4 linked regions of the Nothobranchius furzeri genome follow. The protein of the gene in region 2 purifies or fractionates together with the protein of the main gene of each other region. This does not show direct contact. Links are inferred from orthologs where the notes say so. Each region holds a gene or a part of one and is shown on either strand. Other genes may lie near its edges.

The links.
Region 1: the proteins of fgf11b (region 2) and sirt1 purify together in Homo sapiens (affinity purification with mass spectrometry; 3 studies listed by BioGRID and IntAct, with this or other methods). This does not show direct contact. The link is inferred for Nothobranchius furzeri from reciprocal best matches to the Homo sapiens genes FGF11 and SIRT1.
Region 3: the proteins of fgf11b (region 2) and ahcyl1 purify together in Homo sapiens (affinity purification with mass spectrometry; 3 studies listed by BioGRID and IntAct, with this or other methods). This does not show direct contact. The link is inferred for Nothobranchius furzeri from reciprocal best matches to the Homo sapiens genes FGF11 and AHCYL1.
Region 4: the proteins of fgf11b (region 2) and ube2o purify together in Homo sapiens (affinity purification with mass spectrometry; 3 studies listed by BioGRID and IntAct, with this or other methods). This does not show direct contact. The link is inferred for Nothobranchius furzeri from reciprocal best matches to the Homo sapiens genes FGF11 and UBE2O.

Annotation. Positions count from the first base shown.
Region 1 is NC_091752.1:5,649,961-5,657,538, reverse strand, and holds the start of sirt1 (NAD-dependent protein deacetylase sirtuin-1), read left to right. Parts: upstream 1-2,592; 5' UTR 2,593-2,599; coding exon 2,600-2,948; intron 2,949-4,942; coding exon 4,943-5,056; intron 5,057-5,172; coding exon 5,173-5,408; intron 5,409-5,483; coding exon 5,484-5,636; intron 5,637-7,578. Other genes in the region: dnajc12 (dnaJ homolog subfamily C member 12), read right to left, coding at 1,773-1,850. UniProt on the Homo sapiens protein: NAD-dependent protein deacetylase that links transcriptional regulation directly to intracellular energetics and participates in the coordination of several separated cellular functions such as cell cycle, response to DNA damage, metabolism, apoptosis and autophagy.
Region 2 is NC_091750.1:51,449,706-51,457,222, forward strand, and holds the start of fgf11b (fibroblast growth factor 11), read right to left. Parts: upstream 3,897-7,517; 5' UTR 3,089-3,896; coding exon 2,896-3,088; intron 1-2,895.
Region 3 is NC_091755.1:28,366,853-28,374,385, forward strand, and holds the start of ahcyl1 (S-adenosylhomocysteine hydrolase-like protein 1), read right to left. Parts: upstream 4,514-7,533; 5' UTR 4,336-4,513; coding exon 4,144-4,335; intron 736-4,143; exon of another isoform or gene 659-735; coding exon of another isoform or gene 626-658; intron 1-625. Other genes in the region: nfyal (nuclear transcription factor Y, alpha, like), read right to left, coding at 6,249-6,311, 6,416-6,526, 6,602-6,775. UniProt on the Homo sapiens protein: Multifaceted cellular regulator which coordinates several essential cellular functions including regulation of epithelial HCO3(-) and fluid secretion, mRNA processing and DNA replication.
Region 4 is NC_091747.1:74,396,737-74,403,723, forward strand, and holds part of ube2o ((E3-independent) E2 ubiquitin-conjugating enzyme), read right to left. Parts: intron 6,575-6,987; coding exon 6,420-6,574; intron 6,340-6,419; coding exon 6,227-6,339; intron 6,142-6,226; coding exon 6,013-6,141; intron 4,595-6,012; coding exon 4,505-4,594; intron 4,434-4,504; coding exon 4,118-4,433; intron 2,468-4,117; coding exon 2,100-2,467; intron 2,031-2,099; coding exon 1,850-2,030; intron 1,748-1,849; coding exon 1,611-1,747; intron 553-1,610; coding exon 349-552; intron 276-348; coding exon 218-275; intron 1-217. UniProt on the Homo sapiens protein: E2/E3 hybrid ubiquitin-protein ligase that displays both E2 and E3 ligase activities and mediates monoubiquitination of target proteins. Negatively regulates TRAF6-mediated NF-kappa-B activation independently of its E2 activity.

The sequences.
Region 1 (7,578 bases), on a different chromosome or scaffold from region 2:
CTATCGCCTGGATTAAAGACTACCTGACAAACAGACCACAGTTTGTGAGGCTGAAGAACTGCACATCAAACCAGGCGATCAGTAACATTGGAGCACCACAGGGGACTGTACTCTCACCATTCCTTTTCACCCTGTACACCTCAGACTTCCAGTACAAATCAGAGACCTGTCATCTACAGAAATACTCCGATGACTCTGCAGTTGTCGGGTGTATCAGAGATGGACAGGAAGCTGAGTACAGAGAGCTGGTGGAGCGCTTTGTGGCATGGTGTGGAAACAATCATCTGACCTTGAACGTGAACAAAACAAAGGAGATGATTTTAGACTTCAGAGGAAACAGGGTGGAGTCAAACACTGTTTCCATCATGGGAGAAGAAGTGGAGGTGGTTGAGGAATACAAATACCTTGGAGTTCACCTGGACAACAGACTGGACTGGAGAAAGAACAGTGAAGCCGTTTACAAGAAGGGACACAGCAGACTGCTCTTCTTGAGGACGCTTAGGTCCTTCAATGTCTGTAGCAAGATGCTGCAGATCTTCTACAAGTCTGTTGTTGAGACTGTAATCTCTTCAGCCGTCGTCTGTTGGGGTAGCAGCTTCAGAAGCAGGGACCTGAAAAGGCTCAACAGCCTAATAACAAAGGCTGGTTCTGTTCTGGGGACGACTGTGGAACCACTGGAGGAGATAATGCAAAGAAGGATTCTCCAGAGAATCAAGAAAATTATGGACAACCCTGAGCATTCTCTCCACAAGACTGTCCGACAACGGAAGAGTGTCTTCAGTCAGAGGTTTCTTCAGTTTGGCTGCAACACTCACCTTCCTGCCAACAGCCATTGTAATATACAACAACTCTTTGACGACTTGATTATTATTATTATTATTATCCTGAGCTACTACAGCAATCAATTTCCCTCTGGGATTAATAAAGTATTTTTGAATTGAATTGAATTGAACTGACATTCGTAGTGGTGAGTACATTACGTTGTTCAATGCGGAGACAGTTTTAAAGACAACGGTGGATTCTGCCTCATGGCTGAGCTCTCTCTATGGGTTTTGGCCAAACTGCCGGTATATATTCACATCTATAGGATGGCGTGTTGTCGCATGCTGACCGGGTATGAGCAACTGATATTTTACATGTCATAGTTATTTACCAAACACTCTGTGACTAATATGGCTCATTCTCTGAGAAATTGTTTTCAGATTGGAATTGTTTTAAGATCTTTTCTTAATGGTCACACCACGGCTAGCTAACTCTTTTGTTCACATGAGCTAATCTATTCATTTTTTCTCAAAATTTAAACATTTCAAAAAGCAATCCAAAATTATTAATTAATCGATCACCTTTTCACAGAACCCCATTTCAGGAGATTTGAACTGCCCCTTTAATGTGTGTTAAATTAGTGGTCTCTATGGTGACCACTGACAACAGTTTTAACATTTCTTTTCATCTCTATGCTGTACACTTTTTTTGATAGTTTATGCATTAAAAAAGTAGTTATATTGTCTTTGCTTGGGTCACTTAAGTAGCCGTTGGGATTTAGTTATTTTTTTTTAATTATCTAAATTAATAGACACATTTTTCACCACCCCACCCACTGTGTGGCGAATCAACAGGTTGGTTCAATGAACAAATAATAAGTTCTGATTCACTTAATGAACATCATCCGTGTTTATTATTGTCAATGCGTGTCCAATATTTGTTTATAATGCATGATCTTCTCTCTAAATAGATGTTTTGCAAATAGCGAGAGTCAACTGACCACAACTTACCGATGACAGTTCGTCACATCCTAATAACCCGTAATAATCCTCCAAGTCCTCTGGTTTACAACTCAAAAGCGTCTCCATCGGATCCGATCAGATCAGAGAACGTTTGTTTATTTCGATCGGAGCTGTGTGATGCAGTTATCACAGCTGTTCACTTTCTATGGTTTTCGGTGCCCGGACAGTTTGTTTTGCTTTTACTGTTTTTCCTCACCCTGTACTGTTTTTCAAATAAATTGTTCTAAATAAAGTGACTCTGACAAATTTCTAATCTATGAAGATACGAGTCAGTAAAACGTAGCTATCTTTTCCCTCAACATGTGACGCATGCTGCATTAAAGTGTTGTGGTAACAATTCATCTCAGCGCAGTGACTACAGCTACAGAGGCATAAAATACTACTGAAATCTAGCTTAAAAAACTGTGGAAAAAAATAAATTGTGAAGTGAAATAGGGGCAAAATTATTTTCACCCAAACCAATATTTTATGTTGCAAAATGCTACAAAAAAGGGGAATCTTCTCTTTGCCATTATTCTAATACTGTCATTTCCATGCTGACGTCTTGTGCTGTAAGTACCAAAAATATTTATGCAAGTTAGATTATATAGTCATAAAAATACGAGTTATTGAGCATTTTTCCCAAACGTTTTAGGCTTTTATTTTTTGTTATGCGCGTTACTGCAAAGAAACCCAACGACACCTGAAGGCAGCAGTAATTTGTTGTAGTCTTAGGTATTTGCTCTTCCTCATTGGTCGAGAAAGAGTCACGTGTGCTATGTAAATGAGCCAGCTGTCCGAGAGGAAGGCTTTGCGCAGCGGCTCTGGGGTTGAAGATGGCGGATGAAGAGAATAGTCTCGGAACGGCCTTTTCTGGCGCCTTCATAACGGATGAACCTGCGACGAAAATATCAAAAATGGATACGCCGACTAATCATGGGCTTAAACCCACTGAACCGGACCAGCTTTCGCGCGTCTTTGCAGCCACAGAGAGTCGGGAAGCGGCGATAAAACGTTCGCAGCCTTCCGAGAAGGAAGCAAAGCCGGTGATGGAGGTAGAGCAGGCCCCAACAGCGGCGCGGGACGGAGACAACAATGAACGGGGAATTCCGGTCTCCGAGCCACAGAGACCGGCTGGGAAACTGGTCGACAGTGCTGTACTTTGCTCAACCGAAGAAGTCGCAGGTATGAATAACGCTTACCTCTACTAGCTTACAAACGTTGCGGCTGTTTGGTTTACAGCTCACCGGCAAACTTGATGCTTAAGTGACAGCGAAACGGAATAAACCTATCGGTTTGTGTGTTTTCGGTGTAATGCAATTTCCTCTAACCATAAACGCGTCCATAGGTTTTAAAGTCCACATCACTTAAACTGTAAGAAACTTTGAAGCCAACGTAGCGTCATTTAGCCGGTGTAACGACAGAAACGTGTGCACCGTCTTATTGCGCTGGATCGCGATTATTTGCGATACACGGTATCATCAGCATATAATAATATTATAACGGGCGTTACTTTAGTTCTTAATGAAATGCCAAACCTATTATGATTAATGATAAATGACCCGCACTTTTATAGCGCCTTTCAGAGTCGGCGGACTCCAAAGCGCCTTACACTACAGTGTATCATTCATCCACTCACACACCCTTGATGATAAGCTACAATTTAGCCACAGCTGCCCTGGGGTGCACTGACAGAGGTGAGGCCTCTGAATACAGATGTCATCAGTCCCTCCAAGCATCAGCAGGCAAGGTGGGTTAAGTGTCTTGCTCAAAGACACAACAGCAGTCTGCCAGGTTCGAACTTGCAACCTTAGGATTACATGACAACCCGCTCTACCCCCGGAGCTACTGCCAGATTTCTAGGCTATCTTTGTACCACAGCAATAACTCATTTTACTCTTAAGTGGATGCTTACTTTTTATTCATTTGAAATATATTATTTAAAAATTATACGTAATTAATTGGAAAATTACATGTGAACTAAAAGTTGTTGTCATTACATTCTGTTCACAGCAGCCTCACACTTAACTGCATTGAGCATTTTGTTATAATTTGTCTTGTGCCTGGTTTCCACCTTATGCATAAGCAGCGTGTAAGAAGACACAGATAATAAACACCTATAAGCAATGGTTTTTTTTCCACTGGATGTGGAGTGGAGCATCTCAGATGTGTCGTAGGAGTGGTTTGCTGTAAAGTCGCTGACGCTAGTCTGACTCGATGCAATCCGCTGGATTCCCTTATACTGGAAACTTTGAAATTATTGGCATGATTAACTGAACTCGGTTGGAATGTTTACTTGGTGAAGTGCCTTGAGAACAATTCTTGTTGTGATTTGGTGATGTATAAATAAACTGAATTGAATTGGGTATGTTTTTCTAACCCAGCCTTTCCACTGGATGTGTAAGCGGCATGCGACGTGATAGAGGAGTTTTACTTGTGAACTCCCTTCCAACTGGGAGCATTTCAGGCATGAAACGGGAGTGAAAAGGTGAATGCCTCCTCCGGGTCAGGGATGAGGTCCTGCCCCAAGTAGAGGAGTTTGAGTATCTCAGGGTCTTGTTCATGGGTGAGGGAAAGATGGAGGACAAGATTGATGTGTACTGATCTGTCGTGGTGAAGAGAGAGCTGAGCTGGAAGGCAGAGCTCTCGATTTACCGATCATCTACTTTCCTACCCTCACCTATGGCCACGAGCTTTGGGTAGTGACCGAAAGAACAAGATCGTGGATACGAGCGGCCCCCGCACCATGAGAACAAACATCTCGGCTCTAAAGCCGATCTTCATCCGCATACGTCACACGTCACGTGATCAGGAAGCAGAACATCCATGTGTTAGGAGATCGTTTTGGGCCGCTGCTGTAAAAAAAATGAGGCGCGAACGGAAAAAGCTTCTGCCGATCACAATTCAACAACGGATTATGAAAGAACGGATAACGCTCGAAACACGCGGATTCTTCCTGATGTAAGAGCTGAGTCTCCGCTTTGTTTTGGTTGTTTTGGCGTCGACATCATCCTAGCGCGCAACGTTCTGTCACTCTTTAAAAAAACAGTAAAAACGGTGAGAAACGCTGGCAGTGAAGGGCTTTACCGATCTGGAAACGGCTGGCAGTGAATGAGTTAAGCGTCCACCGGAAGGCCCAGGTTAGTTTCTAACTTCTTTCTTTTTATTTGATTTTCTAGGACATGACGATCTGCCCTCCAACGGCCTTGCTGCCTCACCGGAAAACCTCAACGATGAAGACGACAGATCTTCACATGCAAGCTCCAGCGACTGGACTCCTCAACCCCAAATAGGTAACTGGGACGATTTGTCTGGCATTTCCTAAAGAAAAGTGCCTTAAAGACAGATAAAATTCTTGTGGATTTGTTTGAAAATGAAGTTTCTGACTGTTGTTTTGTTTTCTGGCCAGGCTCTTACAGTTTCATCCAACAACACATTAGAGAGACCGATCCGCGAGCCATTCTAAGGGATTTGCTTCCTGAGACTATACTCCCTCCAGATTTAGATGACATGACACTGTGGCAGATCATCATCAACATCTCAGAGCCTCCGAAGAGAAAGAAGCGGAAGGATATAAACACTTTGGAAGATGTGGTCAGGCTGCTTCAGGAAAGCAAAAAGATCCTTGTGCTGACTGGCGCTGGGGTAGGCATTTACAGTTCTACTCGTCTAGGACTGTATTAGAGTAATGCGATCTTAATCTTCTCTTTTTGCTTGTAGGTTTCAGTTTCATGTGGAATACCAGATTTCCGCTCAAGAGATGGGATTTATGCACGACTTGCTGTAGATTTTCCCGACCTCCCAGATCCTCAGTCTATGTTTGATATCGAGTACTTCAGACGGGACCCTAGACCCTTTTTCAAGTTTGCTAAGGTTGGTTTGTGGTGTCTGCTGAGCTTTTCATGCAGGCTGAACATGAAGATAGTCTCCTACACCTGTCTCCTGCTTTAGCTTCTGATAGAAAACAAACGGTGAAACTCTAGGATTAGAAAAGCCTGACAGATCTACGTCACGCTGTCACTTAACATTCATGGACTCGCCCATCCTCACTCACGACGGGGAAGGCTGTTGTTGGTTTAGCGTCAAGGAAAAGGAAGCTAACAATTAGCATTAGCAACTCCACCACACAGCAAAACTCCTTTTAGGATTGTGTTACTTTTGGAGATTAAACATCAACATTGCAGAGCAGAGTCAGTGGTAGAGTCGCTTTGCTGTTAGCCAATCAGAGGCGAGATGTCCTAATATCAGGAGATAAGACTCCAAAACCTGCCATGTTTCTTCTCCTGCCGACTTTTCTGACCCCAGACAGCCGCACCAATTTTTTCCCCAGAGTACGACACTTAAATTCATTCCTACTGGCGACTACTGTAAATGCATTAAAGTACAAGTAGAGTTAACCATACATAAATATAAAAGTATGTATTGCTCTACACCCTCAGGTTTTGGCACAGTAAAAAAAGGTTTCACTGAAAACTTTAAGATGCCTCAAGTAATGAGTCAGAAAAGGGCCGGATGATCAAAAACAGACCCAGACGGGCTCCGTCAACAGGCCTTCCCCTCTCAGCACGTGACTTAAACATGGGAGGTGGAGGTTGTCCCAAATAAAGGTTACGTAGATCACTAGCATGGCAATATTTTAGTTTTTACAAGTTTTACAGAAATAAACAATGGTTGTTTGCAAAATTAGCAGAAAATTGATGAAATACAAGTCTGGTAACACGACTAACTTGTTTATCACAAAGTAATGACTTAAAATGACCAGGGGTCTCATTTATCAAACATTGGTAAATCCGTACTAAAACCGTACTTAAGCTCAACAAAAAAATGTACTTAAGCCAAGCAGGTTTGTGATCTATCAAACATGGAGTACACACAGCTGCACGCAATCTCCGCTTCATAAATCAGAGACTATCTAGAAAGGTTCTCAGCTGCATTTTAGTCACATCTCGCCCTCACCACGCCCACTTACTGCCATAAATGGTCAATGCAAAGTGCCTTGTGGATCTCATGCATATACATGAGCCGTTGCATATACATGAGCCGGCTTGTTGCAGCATTTCGATCATGACCGCAGATCAAGGAGGCGCTATTTCACAAGCAGAAGTTGAGGTACTTGTGGGTGAGGTGGAGAAATGAAAGGAAGTGCTTTTGCAAAACAAATAAGAGAAAATCCACAGAGTGGCACAGCGTTGCTGAAGCCGTCAATGTTGTGAGTTCTTCAGAGAGATCTGTGGCGGATATGAAAGAAATAGTCCAATCAGGATTCGATCCCCAGACTCAGGTGAGTCACGCTAACCAGTCATCCAAACAGAGATCTCCCCTGTTCAAGTAGCCAGGGTGCATGATCAATCGGGTCACAGTGACAGGACACACACACACCGTCACAGACGCATGACATTCTGTCTCAATCTGTCCCCCTGCTGATATTCTGCATTCCGTATTCTGTGCTTCAGGCTGTGTGTGTGCATGCATGTGTGTGCGTGTGTGCGTGTGGGGGGTCTTGTTCTGTGAGAAAACGAAGCAGTACCAGTGATAATGCTGCAGGATTTCATAATTGTATCTTCTCAGCAGCAGCGCTGCAGGTGCTCTCCATGTCCAACATGTGTGTAAGCCAGGTCCTTAGTCAACTTAAAGTTGCGCACATTTTTCTGCCAAGTTTTCTTTCATAAATCCCAAAGTTTGCGTGAAAAGTTGCTTACGCAGTTTTCCGACCCTGTTTCGTGCGTAAGCAAGCTTGATAAATGAGACCCCTGGGCTGCATTTAAAATGAGTGGTTTATTTATAGTTCACAATAATTATTCAAATCAATCAATAA
Region 2 (7,517 bases):
GTTATTGATTAATCACTATATATTAATGAGCTGAATTGATCTGAAAAGAGGGCAACAGTGCAGCTTGCTGACAGTGAAAGGGCCTCTACTTCAAAGGATCTTTTGGAACAAGTTAACTCCTGGAGGAGGTGATGAGCAGGTATAATCAGCTTGGTTTTATCGCTGATCTCCTCATCAAAAGGCTTGTCTTCCTACTAAAGGCTTGTTGTGAAATTGCTGTAAAGGATAATATATCAGTTATTTAGTGACAACGATGGCAAAAGTAATTCTCTCATTGTCGAACAAGAGAAAGGGAGATAGAGGATCTTTTTAGGATTCTGATAAAAATCCTAACTTGTGCAAATAAGGAGCTATGTGTGCTTATGTTCCATAATGTGGGAAACTGATATTTTAAGGTGTGGTTGACTGAAAAAAAAAACGATTTTTTTAAACCCACCCACTGTCCTAATGGGTGTGACCCCGTGAGGAAAGTTGACCATTGAGCAGGGTTGATGGTTTATCCCTTGGGTCCATGTGGCAGGGGTGAGGAGTGAGCACCACCTCACCTCAATTTCTCTAACGAGCTATAAAATAAGTGTTAGCACATGAGCAATTTACACACACACACACACACACACACACACACACACACACACACACACACACACACACACACACACACACACACACACACACACACACACACACACACACACACACACACACACACAGATGCCCAAACAGACAGGACAAGCTAGGACAATATTTACCATTTCATGGAATCATAGGGATATTATTGTAACTGTGCATGAGCTTAGAGCATTTTGATTTGCGTCCACAATCAATCCCCCCTTGGCAGGGCAGCAGCAACCAAACATCTGGTATTATTATGTAAACAGTCAGTTTTATGAAAGCCAGGGATTGTAGGGGTTTAGACTGAAACAGATACAACATACAAAAATGTGTCTAAGAATACAAATGATACATTAAACTATTTACTTGTAGATTACATAGTAACATAAACAGGAAAATGAATTATTTTTATTACATTAGGTGAGAATGAGATTTGATTGGCTGATAGACATCCCTGTTGCTGTGCATTCAAACTGCACCACAAACACAGCTAAAGAGGCAGTTAGATTAAAACAGCCAGACCCACAGACCACAAACCAAGTGAATACAGAGCAGTATCACATCTCATGGTTCTCTGTGAAGATCGTGTGTTCAGCAACATTTCTCTCATCTGCATCGTTTACCTTTAGCAGAGCGCTCATATTACCTGTTTGGTAGTGCTACAAAACAATCAGTCAATGTAATAATGAAAGAAAAAATTATATTCTGTAAAAACAACAAAAAGCATGCTATCAGCTGTAATATTCAGCTCTTGTTGACTATTACCAAGAGGTGACTGAATGTTTGCTACATACAGGAAATACTGAATGAACTGTTCTGAAAGTCTTCATCAGATGTACATCTACAAGTGGTTAACAATGGACTCTACCCAATTCAAGATGTCTGCCATGGCTGATCATCATTAACAAACAAAACAGGCTCGACCACCTTTTTAATATTAAGCCATAATTTGTGCCGTAGTAACTAACAGACTGACAACGTGGACTCTGAGTGCTACACAATGTGCAGTATCTGTTTTAAGTGTTTCACTTAAGTGTTGGTAGCAATCTCAACTGTCTCACAAACAACTTGGTGGATTCTAATGAAATTCTCAGAAAGTCTTTACTAGTCGACCCGACTCAGAATGGATAACACAGCCATCTGACCTTGGAAAACAAAAATGCCTGTCAGCTTTACAGACAATGAAATAACGTTTCACGAGGAGCAGATTTAGCACAATCACCCTACATGGTGCATGGTGTTGTTTTCCAAGATTTCTCCTAAATATGTTGTATCGTTTCTGAACATATGATCTTAAATTTAAGTTCTAAAATGAAATTTAATTAGAACAGCTACAATTTCGGACATTTGTTGGATTTTTTTAAATTTGTAAAATGTAGAAAATTTATAAACATTAAATTATTATTTTATCATTAACAACTTACACAAAGTTCCTCATTTCCAATACCAGAAGATCAACAGCTGCTGTGGTAACATTTTATTAAAAATGATTATTTTATTAACATTATTTAGTTCATTATTAAGCATCATAAACAAATGATCTCTTTATTAACGTTCCCGATGTTGCTAACTATTAAGTGTCCCTAAGGTTAGGACAGCAGTAGCTCGGGAGGTAGAGTGGATTTTCCAGTAATCAGAAGGTTGCAGGTTCGATTCTGGCTCCAACCAGAGAATGCTACCGTTGTGTCCTTGGGCAAGACACTTAACCCATCTTGCCTGGTGGTAGTGGTTGGAGGGACCAGTAGCACCAGTGTTCAGCAGCCTTGCTTCCATCAGTGCGCCCCAGAGCAGCTGTGGTTACATCATAGCTCTTCCCCACCAGTGTGTGACTGTGTGGATGACTGATCGTGTTGTGAAGCGCCTTGGGGGGTTGTAGCATCCTAAGAAGGTGCTCTAGAAATACAGGCCATTTACTATTAACAATGGGCTTAGTTATGCACATTAAGTTTATTATTAGGCAGTTGTTAATACTTTAATAGTTTATTAATGCTTAAAAATGCACTAACGTTATTAAAGGGACCCTTATTATAAAGTGTTACCACTGCGGTTTGTTTGGAAGGGAACAACAACGTAGGAGCATTTTGACTATAATGAAACCATTTTGGACTTTTGGATTCTACACTGGACGTGAGAATAAAGTAATGAACTCATTTTGATTAATTAAGTAACAAGTTTAGCTGTTGAACTTTACAATCGGTTCAAATTTTGCACTTCGCTAAAACTAAAGATCTAATTTATTAAGCACAAATTATTAAAAACACCAAAGCATCGGGAGTGACTCACCCGGTCTTTTCTCGTTTCGAGCTTTCCGACCCCCACACAGCCGAACTTTAGAAATCAGAACCAGAATCTGTTTCTGGCACAGGGACTTGTTGCTCTTGGGACAGGGCCTGCGCTTGTTGGCAACTGGTCGGTTGGCTTGGTCGTCCTTGACCGCCCGTTTCTGTCTGATGAGAGAGCTGGCGAGAGCTGCCATCTTCTCCCCCCCTCACACGTTTGGGAGGGGGGTATGTTACTTCTCTGTACCCCCCTTTCCTAGCTGGTTTTCTGCTCCTCTTAAGAAAAAACTGGAGTAGGACAGATGTTTTAAAGAACTCCCCCCAGGGGAAATCCGGCTACTAAGTGGGTTAACAGGGAAGATGCTTCCCTTTGAGAGGGGGAGATGTGGGAGAGATGTAATATCAGATGTAGTCCACTGTAAAGTCTCAACTCTGGCCAAAAACAATAAAAAAACCTCTTTGTAGCAGACACGTGGATCAAGTGTCACATTTTCTGTTTAAAATCACAAAACAAAAAACTTTTAAAAAAAGAGGGAGAGGAGACATGCCCCTAACCTGCTTCCCCACTCATTGTTTCACATCAAAATGTGCCTCAAGTTCTAAATATTCCAAACTAATTAACCTACTTTCAATACACAATAGCAAAGAGAAGAGGATTAAACTAAATTACATATAAAAACAGTTTTACCGAAAAAAAGTGAGATAATCTTGAACGCTAGGAAACTCTTAAAAGAGCAGGAAAAATCTGATTGTTTGTCCCCCATCGTGCTGTCCAAACAGATCCAACTTTGCCTCCCATTTAAACGTGGCAGAGTGGAGCAGCAAGCGCAGAGTCCGAGCGGTAATCCAGCTGACTTAATTCCAGATGTAGAGCAGCAGGCGGGATGCTGACGGTGTTTGTCGGAAAGCAGTCGGCAACAGAGCGGAGACATGAACACACACAGACAAGAGGTTCCTCTTCTGCCTCCGGATGGCACACAGTCCTAACACTCCCCCCTCATTCACCCCATGCCTCCCACCTCCTCCTCTCCCTCTCGTTCACTTCTCTCCACCTCTTCCTCCTCCCATCCGAAGTCAGCAAGCGCTTGAATGAGGAGGTGTGTGTGTGTGCGCGTGTGTGAAAACCTCCATCAGTAGAGGTGACATTCATGAGAAGGAGAGAGGGAGGGAATCATGGTTGGGATGAGAGAAACAACCCCTTTCACTACAAATTTACTTTACGGATATGATTCCCAAAATAAAACAAGGCTTAATCATTCTGACTGCTTGACTGGGGGAGAGGATTGCGACAATAGTTCTGTCTCCCCATTAGCAACAGCTTCACCTTCCTACATACTCCCACACATCTGCACATCAAAACCTCAACGGGTTTAGCTGTGGACTTCTGGTCTTGCTCATGGTTTGTCTTCATCTCTGACTCGCAGACCTCTTTATTGGAATCAGTAACAGGGACTTTGCTCCATCAATGTGTCATTTATTGTATGATGTAACTGAATGACAGCTTACACTAAAGCAGACTGGAACACCAGCTTGGACGGATTTAGTTAAGCTAAGACCTGCAAACTTACATTGGATCACTCCCAACATCCCTTAGCTTCTCTCTGGCAGCAAAAAATAAATAAATAAATAAATGAAAAAAAAAAAAACACAAACGTGCAATCATATTTGTGCAGCAATCTAACAGTTTTGGACAAAGAAACCTCAACCATTGCTGGTAAACACCAACATCCTGCAGCAGAGCATTTGGAGCATCGTTGAGACTATGGGCAAGTGTTTAATATAATTTAGTCCTAACAATGGTGGTCACACATTTTAAAATATAACAAATGTTAGTTGCGAACAAGTGTCCTGCCTCAGATTTTATGATGGCACTTTACTCCAGAATGTTAAGTGGAAAACATGTCCACTGTGTTTATGAAGAAGGCTTCAAAAAGTCTAGCAAGCACCATCATCTTCTGATAATGATCCAGCTGTGGAATCAGGGCAACACTAGTGTAGAGCTTGTTCAAGAATGGCAGTAGGCAAGTTTATGTTTATGTTTATGTATTTAGCAGACGCTTTTGTCCAAAGCGACTTACAAGTGATAATCGGCATGTTGCCCTTGAGGCTAACAATAACAACAACAACTTGACATCAATCATGGAGAGGAGGGAACAAGGAGTGGACAGTAGAGAGGGGGGACGAGTGCAGGGAGGCAAGTGTGACTACATCCACGGCAGAGTGAGGAGAAGACTTTTGGAGGATGGTCTGATGTCTGGAAAAGCAGCAATAAAGCCATTTTCATCAATAACAAAGCATGGGAAAGATCAACACCCTGCAAAAGGTCCAGGAACTGGGTGAAGTAATATTCTTTGGTTAATCAGAATTTTTCTCTTAGTTCGTCAGTCCTGTGTCAAGCCAACAGTAAAGCATATGTGTGGTTGCTGCTTTTCAGCCAAGGGAATGGATTCATTCACAGTTTGGAATACAGTCATTAAATAAGAATGGTACTGAAACATCCTCCAAGAGGAACTCCTCCCAGTTATCCAAAAGTGGTTTAGTTATGATGAACAATGCCTTTTCCAACATAATAATAATAATTCCCCATGATACTGGAATGAATTAGAAGCCAACACGGAAGTGTCAAAAATTGCAGTTCCACCCTCATCCGCTGGGGGCTGGTGTCGGAAGCGATCAAATCCTCATTGACTCCCATGTTAAAAATACCATTTTCACAGCAGAAAAAAACATGTATTTACAGCCTGGTTCCAAAACATGTTTTAGGTTTAATAGACCTAGTTTACACTCATGACAACTCTGAGGGGGGTGCATTTTTTGTCACTCTTCTGTTTAAGTGTATTAAATGCCTAAAATTCTGAATAATTAATGAGCATCCGACACACGTGACCGCAGAGCTAGCTCCATGGAAAGGCCTCAGCCTGAGCCTCGGCCTCGCCTGAAAACTGTTCCGCGATTTTCAGTCCCTCAACAATCATTAGTTGTGCCGTTTGTGCATTCTTTTTGGATATTATTTGTGCAATTGTTAGACAAAATGATTTGCTGTGGTATTAATTGCACTAATAGAGCATCCAAGGAGTCTCCACTTAATTTTTTTGGTAAGTAAAATTATATTAATGTATTTTATGTCCCTGTCACTGTTGCACTGGCTGAGCTTAGATATTAACATGTACTGTATAACAATGAAATTTAAATGTAATAGGGTAAAACCCAGTGCATTTAACATAACGCTGCATTTTAGAAAATATAACATGCTGGTGGAGCTGGATTCCGACTATCGGTATGGTCAACTCCCCGCGACTCGGCGCATCTCTGAACACTGCGGCGCCTGCCTGCTGCGCGGCTGCCGGCTTATGGAGCTCTCGGGAGACCATTGTGTTCCACTCGGTTCTTCCCTCCCCGTAGCTCAGCGCATCTCTGATCGTCGCTGCGCCTGTCTGATGTGCGGGCTGCCAGCTTGTGGAGCTCTCGGATGGAAACAGATATTTTCCACCCAGTTCTCCCCAGCGGCAGCTCTGCGCATCTCTGATTGCAGCGACACTTGTCTGCTGCGCGGCTGACGGCTTGTGGAGCTCTCAGGAGACCTCTGTGTTCCACCCGGTTTTACCCAGCGGTCAGCCCGGCATATCTCTGACTCAGAAGCTCTGGTGTTGTGCACAGTTAACTCCAGTTGTAGCTAGGTTGCTACCTCTGTTAGCTTAGCTCCCACCTCCGCGTTAGCTTTGGGTTACCTTGTAGCTACATCGTTTCAGTTCGACAGGTGTTGTCATTTGATCCCAGCCTTACAGCCCCACCCTCAGCTCCACCTCTCTTCCCATTTTTGGAATTGTCTGGGCTTGACGGAACCTGTGACACAGTCAAAATGGAGGTGGTGGCCACCTCCCATTTTGGCTTAAAAACTTATTATTGGGAGCCTATGGACATGAATTGTCCAGTATATATGACGATGGGTGAAACACAGTGCCATAAGGCTAAAATCATTGCAGAAAGCATTTACATTTTGGTTCCTTGTCCTAGAAACTTCTTGGAACATAAACCCACTGAGAACAATCCTTAGGAGTTGGGTACAGAAGAAAAAAAGATACATGAATTCTTACAAACTCCACACATTTAAAAAAATTATTGAATTTCCATCATTGGAATAGAAGTTAATTGTCAACATGCTAGCATGAAAATCAGATGTAGTAGTACAAGTTAATTCATTTCAGTAACTCAGCTTAAAAGATATAGACAGACAGACTCATTATAAGATCCATGATTATGGCTTACAGATACAAAATCTCAGACAAGTAGAATATTGTGAAAAGGTTCAATATTCTAGACTCAAAGTGTCACACTCTAATCTGCCAATGAATCCAGTACTCCTGCAAAGGGTTCCTGAGTCTTTAGATGGTCTCTCAGTCTAAGGTGAATTACTGAAATAAATGGACTTATGCACATTTTCAATTTTTACCTGTAGTAGTGAAAGTAGTAGTAGTAGTAGTAGTATCCTTCAGTATACCATCTGGAAAACTGCCTAAAAATACCAATTTTTTTGAAAACCAAGATTTGTTTCATTCTCAAAACTTTTGGCAATTTAGCTTATGGAAACAAGCACTAAAATTTGCAAAGGAGAGAAAGTAGACCGAT
Region 3 (7,533 bases), on a different chromosome or scaffold from region 2:
TAACATCCCAGATACACGATACGATCATTTTCTCGCCCAGTTGTAACGAGAGAATTCAATGAATCAAAATGTTTCAGTTGTCACTAAAAGTGAGAAACGAACTGATCCAATGGTAAAATAAAAGCTAGATTAAATATTAAACAAAGTCAAATAGCAGAATATAAAAATGTCTCAGTTGCCTTGTAGAGACCACATGATTTAGTCTCATTCATCCTGATTAATGATCAATGATTTAATCTTTTGATTAAATCACCATAGAAACCTCCCAATCCTAATTTCCATAGGCAGCGATACCTGGGCTTCAATAATCTACTGTGAGCAAGTAAGAAGAAACCCAAGAAGCTTGGGAGGCAGAGTGAACTGAGCGTTTCTCTGCACGTCTCTGTTTTCACAACCCCGAGTGTGACCTGTCTCCTAAAACAGAACGCAGAGTTTCATTTTGCATCATTTTGCACTGAATTCAGCAGAATCGTTAGATATGAGGCCTCGAGTTTCACTTTAACGGCAAGTTTTAGTAACAGAGAGAAAACATTTCTGCTCACAGCAAAAAAAAAAAAAAAGATAATTCACAAGAGATAATCAACATGTAGAAGTTAAATTCACTGATGCTTTAGTAGTAACTCACCCGTTCTCTACTGTGTCCATGTTTATGTGCCATAGTCACCCGTTACCTCTCTCTCTCTCTCTCTCTCTCTCTCTCTCTCTCTCTCTCTCTCTCTCTCTCTCTCTCTCTCTCTCTCCCCAGGTCTCCACTCTACCTCTCTGAGCCTCGGTGTCCTCTGTGGGATGGTACCAGGTGTCCCTGATGCTATTATCCCAGAACACTCCCAGGCAGAGCGAGGGGAGGGTCCCACCTAGCATCATGATTTCTAATGGACTGAAACGGAAGGAAGACGCTTTCTCTGGCTCTGCTCTTGACAACCAGCAGCTACACTCTTTAGGTTTTAACTTATAATAAAGTCCAAGAACATTATAACAAGTCACATGTTACAAAACCTATTTATTCATCATTTAAATGACTGAATGCAAGGCCACTGGCAGGTGGAATCACGCCCTGTCTTCATTAGCCTTCTGCTGCATTAATCGGCACCCCTCTTGTTCCTACAGCTAAAAATACCCGTTCTCTCTCAGATAGCGGGCCAGGTCACAGACATAAGCTGTGGAGTGTGACTGTCGCTCAGTGGCGTAAGGGCTCAGTGTGGTCCTGACATAAGGCAACACTACTTAACCAGACACCACTACAGGTCTAATGCACCATCTAGCTGTAATCCACAAACATCTTCATTGCTTACGCACAACGGCTGCACCCAACAAACACACAACCTGATGCACAAACAGAGCACAAACAGAAATGTAAGTGAAGCCGAAACTCCAAAATCAGTGCAAAAGCACCTATTTAATCAACACATGCACAACCGATTACAGTGTTGTGAAAAAACACACAGAGCACTAATCCGTCTACCCTCGGAGACTGTGTGACCTTTAGCTGAAAGTGTAACTTCCACTGATTACCAACATAAAGCACCACAAGATTTCAGAAGCAAACAGAACGGAATGCTATGGATCAGTGAGATTACACAATGCAAATAAAATTAAATAAATAAATAAACTACATGTGCTTTTAGCCCATCGACAGCCGATAAATGAGAACACCTGGATGAATCCTGATGGGTTCAAATGGATAAGTCCTGTAGGAGAGGGAAACCACTCAGATGAGTGTGTTGCATTCATCAGAAACAGCACCTAAATTAGTAAAACTGCTTTAATAACTCAAAAAGTACAATATAAAAGAGGCTTTTGGTCTTTAGTCGTACACATCACAGCTGAGCTTCAAACGGCAGGTTTCTTTTTTCCTGATATTTGGACATCTCGCCCTGGTTTGGATAACTGCAACGCGGCTCTACTACTGACTCTGTTTTGCAATGTTTACATTTGATCTCCACAAATAACACAAGCCTGGAGGAGTTCTGCTGTGTGGTGAAGTTGCTCATGCTAATGGTTAGCTTCTACTAGTCAAGATGTTCTCTGGTGTTTCCTGAATGCTAAACCAGCAACAGCCCTCCCCCCGTCGGGAGTCAAGATGGGTGAGTCCATGGACGTTCAGTGACAGTGTGACGTAGATCTGTCAGGATTTTCTAATCCTAGTTTCACCATCTATTTTCTATCAGAAGCTAATGATAGGTGTATTAGACTATTCTCATGTTCAGCCTGCATGAAAAACTCTTGAGTGATTGATTTTAATCACTTAAAAAATGTTTTTTTTTTCAGTGTTCCACATCTTTAAGCTTTCTTTAACCAAGCTAGAAGCCAAAACACACTTGGGGATGCAGCAGAAAACGCCATCACCATCATACTCCAACACTTTCTCATCCACTTTTTGCATACGTTTTTTTTTTTCAAAACCAACAGGGATTTCTCATCAATAGGCCCTCACATTCATTCATATGCTGGTTTGTTTTTATAGGCTCAGTGCACATTCCTGTCATCCAATATGTTTTCTAGGCTCCCTCAGGCGGATCGCGGTCCGCACGCTATTGCCTGTCAGGCAGGAGGTCTGACCCAATATTCTGAAGCCCCGCTGCTGAGAAAATAAGTGTTTTTATTAATCAGACATGTTTGTCCACTTTTTCAGGAAAAATATAAAGAAAACAAACTTTCTTTTGGAAAAGTAATCATTTTGATTCTGTTAGTGTAAATGTGCAAGAGGACACAGTCTGGTTTTTTTATTACATATTGTCAAGTAGTGTCCATCTGCAGAGTGAGTGTTCTTTTCCATGCACTGTCATGTGACACTGACACATGCAGACAGTTGTTCCACAATCATGAAAGGCATACGATATCTGCAGGGGTTTGTAATCTATTACTTAGTCATTTTTGAGTCACAGAGACTAATTTTTCCCTGAGTTTTAGGAAGGTTGCATTAAGCAGTAAAACATGCAACTTCTAAAAAAAAAGGGGGCAGAAGAAAATGCAAAAAAAATGTGCATTATTGACACTAAAAGCAGGGTTAGAAGAATGAAGCGTTAAGCTTCACTCTAAATAATTAATTAATAGAGTTTAAATGATGAACGCTCATTCGATCCACAATGATTTGATTGCTTTGCGTCACTTAAAAATAGCTGTAATACATGCAACAATTATAACAAATATGAATATTTTATACAGTTATAACAAATATGAATATATTATTACTGACATATCTGTTTAAATTTTCTTTATTTGTTTTTTTTTTTATGTTTTGAGAATGGCAAACATCAGCATCCATATCAGTATTTATAGGCATAAATCTAGTTTCAGGTCATGATGACTTGATGGACAAGATGAAATGAGCATCAGGGGCTGATTAGTGGCGTTAGGTTTAAGCCACTGCTGAGATCAGAATAAAAGAAAACCTACTTTTTTAAAAGATGGCGCATTTTTCAGACTCTGGGAAACAAAAGATGTCCTCTACCCTATCACCCGTGCTTCAGCTCATGTTTACTCATGGCCTGTTCCCAGCTGCTGCACACAGTGGTGGACCTGTAATATGAACAGCCACCTAAGGAGAAGGGTCTTTCTGTTTAAGCCATTGTTAACCAGGACAGGAACACAAGGTCTTTTCCCACAGGTGTATGGTGTGCAGCAATCACTTCCTTATTTTGCACATCTGAACCGATGATCTGAACTCATTCAATTGGTTTCATTAACTAAAAATGGGACATTCCTGCATGTTGAATAAATGTCTAATTGAAATTTATGGTTGATTTGAGTAAATTATCACAGTAACGTCTTCATTCTTTACACAGATCTCCTCTCCCTGAAGCAATGTCTCCACTTTCTGAGGCATAGATACTTTTTGATAACATTGTGTTGCCATACAATAAAGTAAGGCAACATAAATAACGCCTTAATACTCACGTTTGTTGTAATTGCTTTACATTTGCTTTGCATAGCTTTGATAAATATGAGATCGTGAGCTTTCACCATCCGTACAAACAGAAGTGAGAAGTGTATGATCTGACTCTGCAGCCGACTGTCCTGTCAGCAGCTGACTGCGGTACAGTTCTGCACCAACGTGAGTTTATCGTTTATCCTCCTCACATGTGACGGTCTGATCTCTGTCCAATGACAGCCGGTGATGGCGGCGGGCATCACGTTCCTTACCTTCTTCACGGATTTCAGAGTCGGGACTGCGGTGAATGCTGCGGAGGGCATCTCCCCGACGTTCATGTTCACATCGCTGCTGTTCTTGCTGACAGTCAACGCGGAATATTTCTCCGCCACGTTCTCCGTCTCTTTGACGTATTTGGTGGCTTGTTTAACCTCCGCCTTGCTGTCCACAGCCGAGTCTGTCATTGCATCGGAGTGACACGGATGCTGGATGGAGGAGGAAAAGGAGCAAATGATAGTAAAAGATAACAGAAAGAGCCGGCTCTTGATGGAGTTTAAACGAACGTCACGTCGCCTTCCTGCTCTCTAGTTACACTCAGTGGCTTAAAATTAAAGAAGTAATGCAAAAGTGCAAAAACCCGCGTCAAAGTTCCTCTAGTTCTCTGGAAAAGAGCAGCTTGTTTCGCTCCTGTGGTTCGGATGTCAGCCACGGACAGGGGGCGGGTAGCTAGAGCCGTCACCTGAGGAAGTAGGCGGTATCCGGGCTGAGTCATCCAGTCAGAGCCGGCTGTTGGATTAGAAAAAAACACCAGCGTTACTCGTTACTTGTAGTGAGAATATTTACTTGTAATTTGCAGGATTGATGCACGAGTTAGCGCACGCGTAGATAATTTTCCGTTGCCATGGTAAAATCTGCCAAGGAAACTGGGATCAAGCCCCGCCTCACTTTGATTTGATTGGTTAGCCACATAGCCAATTTCTACCACCTCAGCCTCTGATTGGCTGCGTTTGTTTTCATGGTCCTGTACCAGAAGGTCCAGTTTAAGGATAGCATTAATAATATATTTGAGATTTTCATTCCATTTCCTTTAGAATGGGATGGAAAAAAGAATTTTTACATTTTAATATCAAAGTTTAAAGTAACTTGATTTTAATAAATCCTGTAATGTGACCTCATAGAATGGGATTTCAGAATGTTTAATCTACATGCATGAAGGAAATATTGGAGGTCTGGTCCAAAGGTGATCACCTATAAGCACAAGAACATGCAACAAGAGAAAAGATTATCCAAATAAATCAAATTAATCCATAAAGAAGCTTTAAGCTTGGATAAAAACTATTAAAATGACTCTCATAAAGCACATAGAGCCCAATGACTTTTTACTTTGATGTCAGATTTATTTAGCTTTACTTCACTGAGAATCTACGGCCCCACTTATATTGTTCCTGCATCAAGTCTGGAAATTAGAAATGTGCCATTAATTTAAAAAGAACTAGAAATATGTAATTGATGACTGCTACTAATCTCAATAAACACAAATAACCTTGAATTATTTTACAAAATTTTTATTGACACATTTTATGAAAGTGATGTTCAACCACTTAACATTGTAAAAAATAGTATTGACTGCACTTGATGCATAAAAAAAAGAAAATTATTACCTCCAATAAAATAAAAACCACCTATGTGGACTAAAAGAAAAAAGATCTACTGTACACTGATAGTGTGTTAATGTGATGCAATACTCAACTATTCCTTGCTTCAGCCAAAACACCAAGTTTAACTATAAATTGTATGAAATGCACCAACAGAACTGGTAAGGATGTCAACACACACGAGGGAACAAATATTTCTCTGTACAATATTTTCAAAGTACTAACACAACTCCTCTTTTGTCCTCAGACGATGGAGGATACACTCCAAATAGTAGAAAGGTTTAAATAATTACATTTCAAATTAAAAGGAATTCTTAACAATACAAAACAGCTGTGTTGTGAAAATAAATGCTTAAAAAAACTGGTACCATTTACAAAATGATTTAAAACTAAATGCATCAACTGGAGAAAAGTCTTATTTTTTTTACAGGGTTTGACAGAGTATGGCCTCATTTCTCATGTTTCGACAAAGTCCAAAGAAAACAAAACGCTGCTGGTCCTGTAAACGAAACCAGACAACGTTAGCATGAATGCATCCTCACTGGCTCAGCAGCGACTCTCTGGAAAAGCAGCAAAGACGTTTAGGGAAAAACAAAAAGCGCGCCACTGAGTGCTCGGTTGGGCGTAGTGAGTCAGAACGGATTACAAACGCGTTCGATGCTTAGCTGGGATGAAGAGTCCGAGGAAAAATTCAGACAGAAGTACTGATGTTGGTGACAGTGCTACGAGACTCTGATCATCTGGGCCACCGTCTCATCCGGCGCCGTCTGGCCTACGTCCTGCTGCTGCGTCATACGAAGGAAAAACACATAAATTGAGATCAAATTACCCACATATGTCAGTGAAAACTCAAATCTGTCATTTAAAGCCTTAAGGTGTAGACTCTTACTTGTGCCAAAGCCAACTCCATTTCTTCCTTGTCTTTAGGGGAGAAGAACCGTCCTCCGTCTCCTCGCTTACGCTGCATAGCGTGACGATGGCGAGACTCATGTAGGTATTTCTGTAAGAAATAAATAAATGACCATGAATAAACGGTAAACCTTTCCTGAAGTACCTAATACTGGAGACAACGTACCCTTCTCTCTTTAGGGATCTTGCCCTCAGCCTCCAGCTTGGCCCGGGCCTGCCGTCGCTTCAGAATACGATGGTATTGTTTGGCGTTGACGTACAGAGGCTCCTCCTCCAGCATTTCGGCCCCTGGCAGTGGGATGCGCTGCATTGTGGGAACTCCGCCCCCTCCGGGCACCATCTGATAGGAGTAAAGCAAACAGGCACGGCCCACACAACTTAGAACCCCTGACAATTCAAATGAAATGCAGACAATTATAAGTGAACTATCTGAATCTGTATCATCAGATCTGCTGTTAAAACGTAACAATTACATTGTTTTGGACCCAGACAGATGTTTTTAACAAGAATTGAGTCGCTCTAAAGGCCGAGTCTGAGAGGTCCGTTACTGGGGAGCTGGATCATGTCTGATTCTAAAGGTTGGTTTATGCTTGACGTGTCCGCGAGGTCCGCACGGCTCCGCGCGGAAAAGTTGCGTCATTTTTCGTCATTTTAACAACCACGCCCCTCCACCGCGCCTCCGGACGGCCCAGAATTTCCGCAACGCGCACCTCGGAAAATTTCTAACCACGTGGACGGACGGACGCGGAAAAACATGGCGGACCAGCAAGAACTAGTATGGCAGAGGTTCATAAATACAGACATTTGTATGATTCAGCTCTCAGAGATCACCGTGATCAACATGTTGTTAATAATTCTTGGAGAGAAATAGCTCGCAATGTCGGAAAAGACGAGAATGCTGTTAAAAATGCTGAAATGCCGTGTTGTAAACAGTAATTTCTACTTCTACTATGGTGTAGTGTTGGATGTTTGCCGTAGAGCTCCATGCTGCCCCGTTCAGTTTGGGAGAATATTGGCTCACCGCAGAGACGAGCCGCACGAACCATAAAAGCTGCGAGTTGTGAAGCGCGTTCCATCCGCGAGCCGCATCACCGCGCG
Region 4 (6,987 bases), on a different chromosome or scaffold from region 2:
GAGAAAAAGAGAGAGAGAAAGAGAGAAAAAGAGAGAGAGAGAAAGAGAGAGAGAGAGAAAGAGAAAAGAGAGAGAGAGAAAGAAAGAGAGAGAGAGAGAAAGAAAGAGAGAGAGAAAGAGAGAAAAAGAGAGAGAGAGAGAGAGAAAGAGAGAGAAAGAGAAAAGAGAGAAAGAGAGAGAGTGTGTGTGTGCGTGTGTGTGTGTGTGTGTGTCTAACCTTGTATGGAGATGAGGACTTGCAGCAGGCTGGACTTGCTGGTCCACCTCTCAGTCCCCTGTGGACGACAGAACCAGGGAGTTGAACTGGGTTGGGTCCAGTACTGGCTGGGACGGCCCAACAGCACTCACCTTTCCGATCCAGGTTCCCAGCAGGCTGACGCAGACTTTGCCGTTGTCGTACAGGTTGGGATTGAGGCGGCCGCTGCACTGGGACAGGTAGCGGAACAGCGGCGGCACGGCCGGGTAGATGTTGGGCAGCTGGATGTCGAAGAGGAAGAGTCCGTCCTCGTACGGGGTTCTGGTTGGTCCTTTGATCAGAGCTGAAAACAGGTCCTGTGTCACAGGAAGAGCAGAACTCACCCACTTGTTCTTTAGGGGTCAAAAGATGCCGGTGCTGGTGGATCACTGGTTACCCGAGTAGAATCACAAGTGTTTTCTCACACTCTTAACGCCGAGCGGAAGCAGAGCCGGTGCTGATCCAGAAACTATATTTGTGTCATCCTCCAGCTCTACATCTGTAGCTACGGCTGCACCGTCAGGCTGCTTCCTAATCTGGTCTATGAATGTGGTCCAGATGAACAGAAGGTTCTGCTGCATCCTGGTTCCGCCCAAACAACCTAACTGTGGCCAACTACTTTGTTGGTTTGATGAGTCTGAAGAAACAAGTGTGTTGTCATGGCAACACTTCTAAAGCAAACCAAAACAGATCTTTGGTGATTGGACAAAAAAACATCTACGTCATCAGGTGTGTGCATGCGTGTGCGTGTGTGTGTGTGTGTGTGTGCGAATGTGCGTGCGCGCGTGCGTGTGTGTGTGTGAATGTGCGTGCGTGCGTGTGTGTGTGCGTGTGTGCGTGCGTGCGTGTGCATGCGTGCACATGTGTGTGTGTGCATGCGTGCGTGCATGCGTGCGTGCGTGCGTGTGCATGTGTGTGCGTGTGTGTGCGTGCGTGCGGGTGTGTGAATGTGTGTGTGTGTGTGTGTGTGAGCGTGCGTGTGTGTGCGTGCGTGTGTGTGTGCGTGCGTGCGTGTGAGTGTGCGTGCGTGTGTGTGTGCGTGCGTGCGTGCGTGCGTGTGTGAATGTGCATGCGTGTGTGTGCGTGTGAATGTGTGTGTGTGTGCGTGTGTGTGCGAATGTGTGTGTGTGCGTGTGTGAATGTGCGTGCGTGCGTGTGCGTGAGTGAATGTGCGTGCGTGCGTGTGCGTGTGAATGTGTGTGTGTGTGCGTGTGTGTGTGAATGTGTGTGTGTGTGCGTGTGTGTGCGAATGTGTGTGTGTGTGCGTGAGTGAATGTGCGTGCGTGCGTGTGCGTGAGTGAATGTGCGTGCGTGCGTGTGCGTGAGTGAATGTGCGTGCGTGCGTGCGTGTCAGTACGGATCAGATAAAACCCACCATGCGGTCCTCGAAGGTCTTGACCATGATGCCGTCGGGCAGCGACGTTGCCAGCAGAGCCATCTCCTTCCTCACTGTGCTGAAAAACTTCTTGGCCTCTGCCGGCTGAAACTCCATTTTCTTAAAGGAGTGAGTGTCTGTTGGTGAGGAAACGGATGAAAGTGAACTTTACACAGCTGAGCTCTTGTTGATCTGTAGATTAACGGTTTCACACCCGTGTGAGGAACCCGTGACCTCACCTGGAGCCCACTCCAGCACCGAGAACACCTCCCCTTTGGCGCTGGTGAAGGTCACTCCAGGTTTCCCTCCACTCTGTTGGCACAGCACCGGCGTTTCGCTCAGGAACTCACTGGGCCACTCCTGGTTCCCCACCGGCGTCTGTGGCTCCTGCTGGGGTTTCTCCTCCGTGCTCCTCTCTGCCTGAGGAGACGCGGCGGGTCAAACCTCCTCTACTGACGAGGCGGATCATCACAGCAGCGGGACACCTACCTCTGTTCCTGCTCCGCCGCTCCCAGCAGACTCCACAACAGCTTCCATCTTCTCTTCCTCCACAATGGCCACGTTGTCCAGAGTCTTCCTCAGGTTCTCCTGCAGTTTCTTGAGGTCGTCCAGGAAGCGCTTCTCCTTGGTGGGTTTTTCAGAGGCAGGAGGCATCACCGAACTCGCTACGTTGGCCGTGGACACCGGTTCCGCTGAGGTCGGGGAGGTTGGCGAGCCACCGGTCCACAACTGCTCCACCGTCATGTTCTTCAGACTCTCCAGGATCCTGAGGGCCTCCCTCAGCTCCCTGAACCCTCGAGAGGAACCGTCCTTGTTGGGCTTCTCCGCTCCGTTTACCGACGCCGCTGGAGTTGTTCCTGCACCGGACGACAGACCACACAACAGTCCGTAAAACTGCCGTTAGCATCAAGATCTGAAACCTGTTTGATCGCGTCCTGTTGACCTCACGTTTGTCAAAATATAATTCAGAGTTTAGGAGATTTTCCAGAAGCTTCCACTGGTGAAGAATTAAACTCACAACTCCCTCCCTCTCGCGCTCGTGACCAATTCCAGCGGTCGGCGGGTGAGAGGAGAGGGACACCATGGACAGGTCTCCGGTCCATCACAGGGACACACGGAGACGGAAGACTGCCCACACATTTTCCAGCTAACCCCAGAGTATCCGGAGAAATCCCACACGTGCACGGGGAAAACGTGCTACCTCTACGCAGAACAGCTGGAGCTGGGACTTGAACCAGCAACCTTTACACTGCAAGGCAACAGTACTACCAACCGCCCCTCCGTGAAGCCCCGGTTTCATTTCCTGCCTTGAAATTCACACCTCTTTAACGCTCCTCTTGTACGCCGCTGCTGTGTTCGTCTTCTGAGTCCATTTGCGGTTCGTTTTCAAACACAGACGAGGTTTTTCTTTACCTTGCTGATGGTTTCGTTTGCAGCAGCGAGGTAAAGAGAAACCTCATCCGTGTTTTAAAAAAAGGACCAAAAATGGACTCTTTAAAGCTTTACACACCTGTTTTATCTTAAGCTCGTGTATTAATACTCGTGAGGTAAAAGTTACTTCACCACTAAACACGATTCTGCCACCTGCTGGAGCAGACCGGTGCCTGCTGGCTCTCTAAAATGAAAACTCCAGATAAAATGGATAATCCAGCTGTGAAGCTGTCCAGATGTGTACCCCGGGACTAACCCCCAAATTCCACTACCTCCGCTCCGCTCCGACACGACCGCCGGAGCAAAATCGGTCCCGTTGTAGTCAATCAAAGCAATTCCACTACTGCGGAGGTGTTCCGGTGTCCGGCAAAAATAGAATCGATCCTATTTTCGCCGGACGCCGGAGCACCTCCGCAGTAAATGGACAGAAATCACAACCGCCCAACAGGAAAAGGAGCAAGCACAACCTCCGTTTTTCACAATAAATCGATAAACAAAAGGCGTTTTTTGTTTCATATGCACAAGTTTAACAACTTTTAACAACTATCAATGGCGGCTGAAGTTTAAATGCACAAAAGTAAGCCATAAATACAGTTTCTACTATCAAAGTAGTCACACTTTGTTGATCCAAACACTGCTGATGTCTCAACACAAATGATGGGCAGATTAAACAGTTCATGTCGATGCTTCTCCCACACAACGGGTGTTTGGATCTAACTTCCGCGTTTATTGCTCGGACTGTATCGCAAGATCTCGAAAATCCCGCGCATGCTTGTTTGCCCCCCTCAGGTCTCCGCACCGGAGCGGAGCCGTTGTAGAGCGGGTAGCAGTAAAAATTGAGTTCGGAAGCGAGCGGCTGCGGAAGGCGGGGGCGGGGCAGAGGTAGTGGAATTTGGGGGTAAGATTCATCTGATGTAATCGGATTACATCAGTCTGGTTTATTCTACAGTCGTTTCTGTTAAAGGTCACGCTGGCCGGACAATAACTAGATATGAATCTGTGCTGCGCAGCTGCCCCTCAGACTGAGGCCTGAGACGACCCTGAACCACGAGACAAGACAGCAGGAAGCTCCCCACCTCCTCCTGAAGCAGGACTGGCCACCGCTGCTTCTCCCTCCGCTGCAGGAGCTCCGTTGGTGGGACTGGTGGCCGGCTTGCTGCCCTCCTGAGGGGGGAGGATGAAGGCGGTAGAGCCGGTGGGCGTGGGGGTGGGCGTGGCCGTGTCTGTGGCGTCTGCGTTGTTGACGTGGCCGTCGTCCTCAGTGGTCAAGCCGTTGTCCGTCTCCCAGCTGTCGCTCTCGTCCTCCCACTCCTCGGTGGACAGGACGCTGCTCGTCTCGTCCACCGAGTCGTAGTCCGTCTCCTCGATCTCGGACTCCACGTTGTAGAGGTGCTGTGGGATGGTCAGAGTCGCTGAAGCGCTCGCTCATGATGCAAACGGCTCTAGTTTTTACAAGCACTCACCTGCGGCAGGACGATGGTCTTGGAGTTGTCGGCCCAGACCACCTCCACTTTGCTGCTCACGTCCACTCTGGACACCTGTCCCACTGACGTCTGAGGAACACACACACACAAACACACACCCCAGCAGCGTGGTTAGAGCCTGGTTGCTCCATCACGTCACATGACTTGTCCTCCCTTGATTCGATTAGAAACGGGGTCTAACCACACACAACGCCGTCTCACGTTTGTGACTCAAAGTAAACTCAAGCAGGTTCCAGCGACCGCCATGACTCAGCAGAAATTTCTTGAACATTTCTCCACTTCCACATGGGATTACAGCCACGTGACTCGCACGAGGAAACTGAGAACCCTCGGGAACGACTCGAGATATTCTGGAAGCTCATTCGTGGTGACATTTGAATCAGGCGTGTCATGATCCAGATTCAAATATAAGGTGCTGCTGCTGCTGACCCGGGGTCAGTCTGAATGTAAACTGCTGAGACGGTCTCACCCAAACCTCGTCTTTCAAATCAACCGGAGATCTAAATGAAGTATCTGCGTCGATTCCTTTATCCTTCCTGCTGTCGTTTCAACATTTACAAAAACACAACAGGTGTTTCTGGGGATCTGGAGCCGACTCGGTGAGTCAGAGTGCTTTAAGCCGGGCGTACGCTGTGCGACTTTTTCACTTTTTTGAGCCGATTTTCCACTCGTGCGAGAATCCACGAGATCGGGGTGAGTTTTGTGCCGAGCGTCGTGTAGTGTACAGGGGGTTACGAGAGGCGATTAACACCACGTGACCAGCTACCGATCAGCAGTCGTGAGCTCGCACGGACTTCTGGCGTGTTTAATATTTCGCTCGTCCCTCGTGAGGGTATCGCACTGTTGAAGCGGCGCTGCGAGCAGCTGCGACCCTAAAGCCCCCTTCAGACAGGCCATGAAAAACGGAAATGTTCCGGACTCTGTCCGTAAGACCTTTGTGTCTGAATACAAACATCCGGATAACGTGTTCCGGAATTTATCCGGACGAAGCCCCTAGTAACAGGTCCGGACTTGTTACGGACAGGGTGGCTGCTTCAGACTGGTGAGGTAAAGTTCCGGACAAGGGGGAGGGGGAGGAGGAGGGGACCGGGGGACGCTGTGCGCACCTAGATAGCTCGCTGCTGTAGCATGCGGCGAACCACGGCAGCTCGCCTCCTACGGTACCGTGTAGACGCACGACGGAGCGCTTCACACCGCTTCAGTGATTCCTTTAACCATTGAGCTTCATCATCCAGGACTCTTATGCGTCTTCGTGTGCGCAGAATTATGCTTAAGCGCCTCGTGATTTTTATCTTGAGAGGCGCTATAGAAATGATATTTTCTTCTTCTTCTTAACATGGGTCTGACCCCCCCCCCCCAGGACTCGTGAGATCTGTCCTGAGAGGAAGTCGTACAGTTTGAGCTGAAGCTGAGTGCTACGAGTGAAAAAGTCGCACAGTGTCCGCCCGGCTTTATGAATCCGTCTGTCTCAGAAGAGCGACGCTCACCTCGTTCTCACAGTCGTTCTGTCCGTTCTCGGAGTTCCAGATTCGGATGACTATATCGGTGGTGCGGAAGTGGAAATCTGGATGGTCGGAGATGTCGTACACGCTGACATCCTCCTCCACGCCGATGACCTGCGTTAGACAAATATAAACAAACAGGAATGTCGGCACCCTGTGATGTTCACCCGTCTCCCTGTGACACCCGTCCCTGGCTGACCTCCACGCCGTCCCCGCTGGAGTTCAGGTTGATCCACTTAACCACGCACGTCCGACCCTTGTGATCTCCAGACTGGATCACACCGTACACTCCTGGGTCCTGCAGGCTTTGAGCTGTGGGGGGGGGGGGCACATACACACAGGTCAGAGAGCCAGTGACACGGGGTTGTTGAACGCTAGCGTTGTTTCCTCACGTCGTTTGTCCACTACGAAGTCCCCGGGGCAGAACTCGTGGCTGTCCAGGTGCTGAATGGGGATCAGGTCATTTGATCTGATGCCCTTCTCCACCCGCCCGTCCTTCCACATCACATCGGCTGTGGTTTTTGTGGATACCACTTCCACGGCCACCCTGAGACAGAAAACAAACCCTGATCAGGTTTCTACTCAGATCTGGTTAATAACAAAGGTGTCCAGCAGCGGGTTCGGGGGTTGCCGCTAGGGAAGCACCAATACCGATACCAGTATCGGTATCGGTAAAAGTTAACTGATACCAATGCAGTTGCTTGAAAATGGCTTCACTGTAACTTGTCATTTCTGTTCACCTAATATTTTATTTTTGGGATTATTTCTATTCATATGTTTTACTTTTTATCTACCTCACAGTCTTTTCCTGTTGAAAGAAGAGAAGAAAATAAAATCTGTATTCCAAATCATTGCATTTTTTGTGTGGTAGAAGTATCGGAATCTGTAATCTGTATCGGCAAGTATTCAGATCCAAGTATTGGTATCGTATCGGTTTGGAAAAAAGTGGTATCGTTGCAT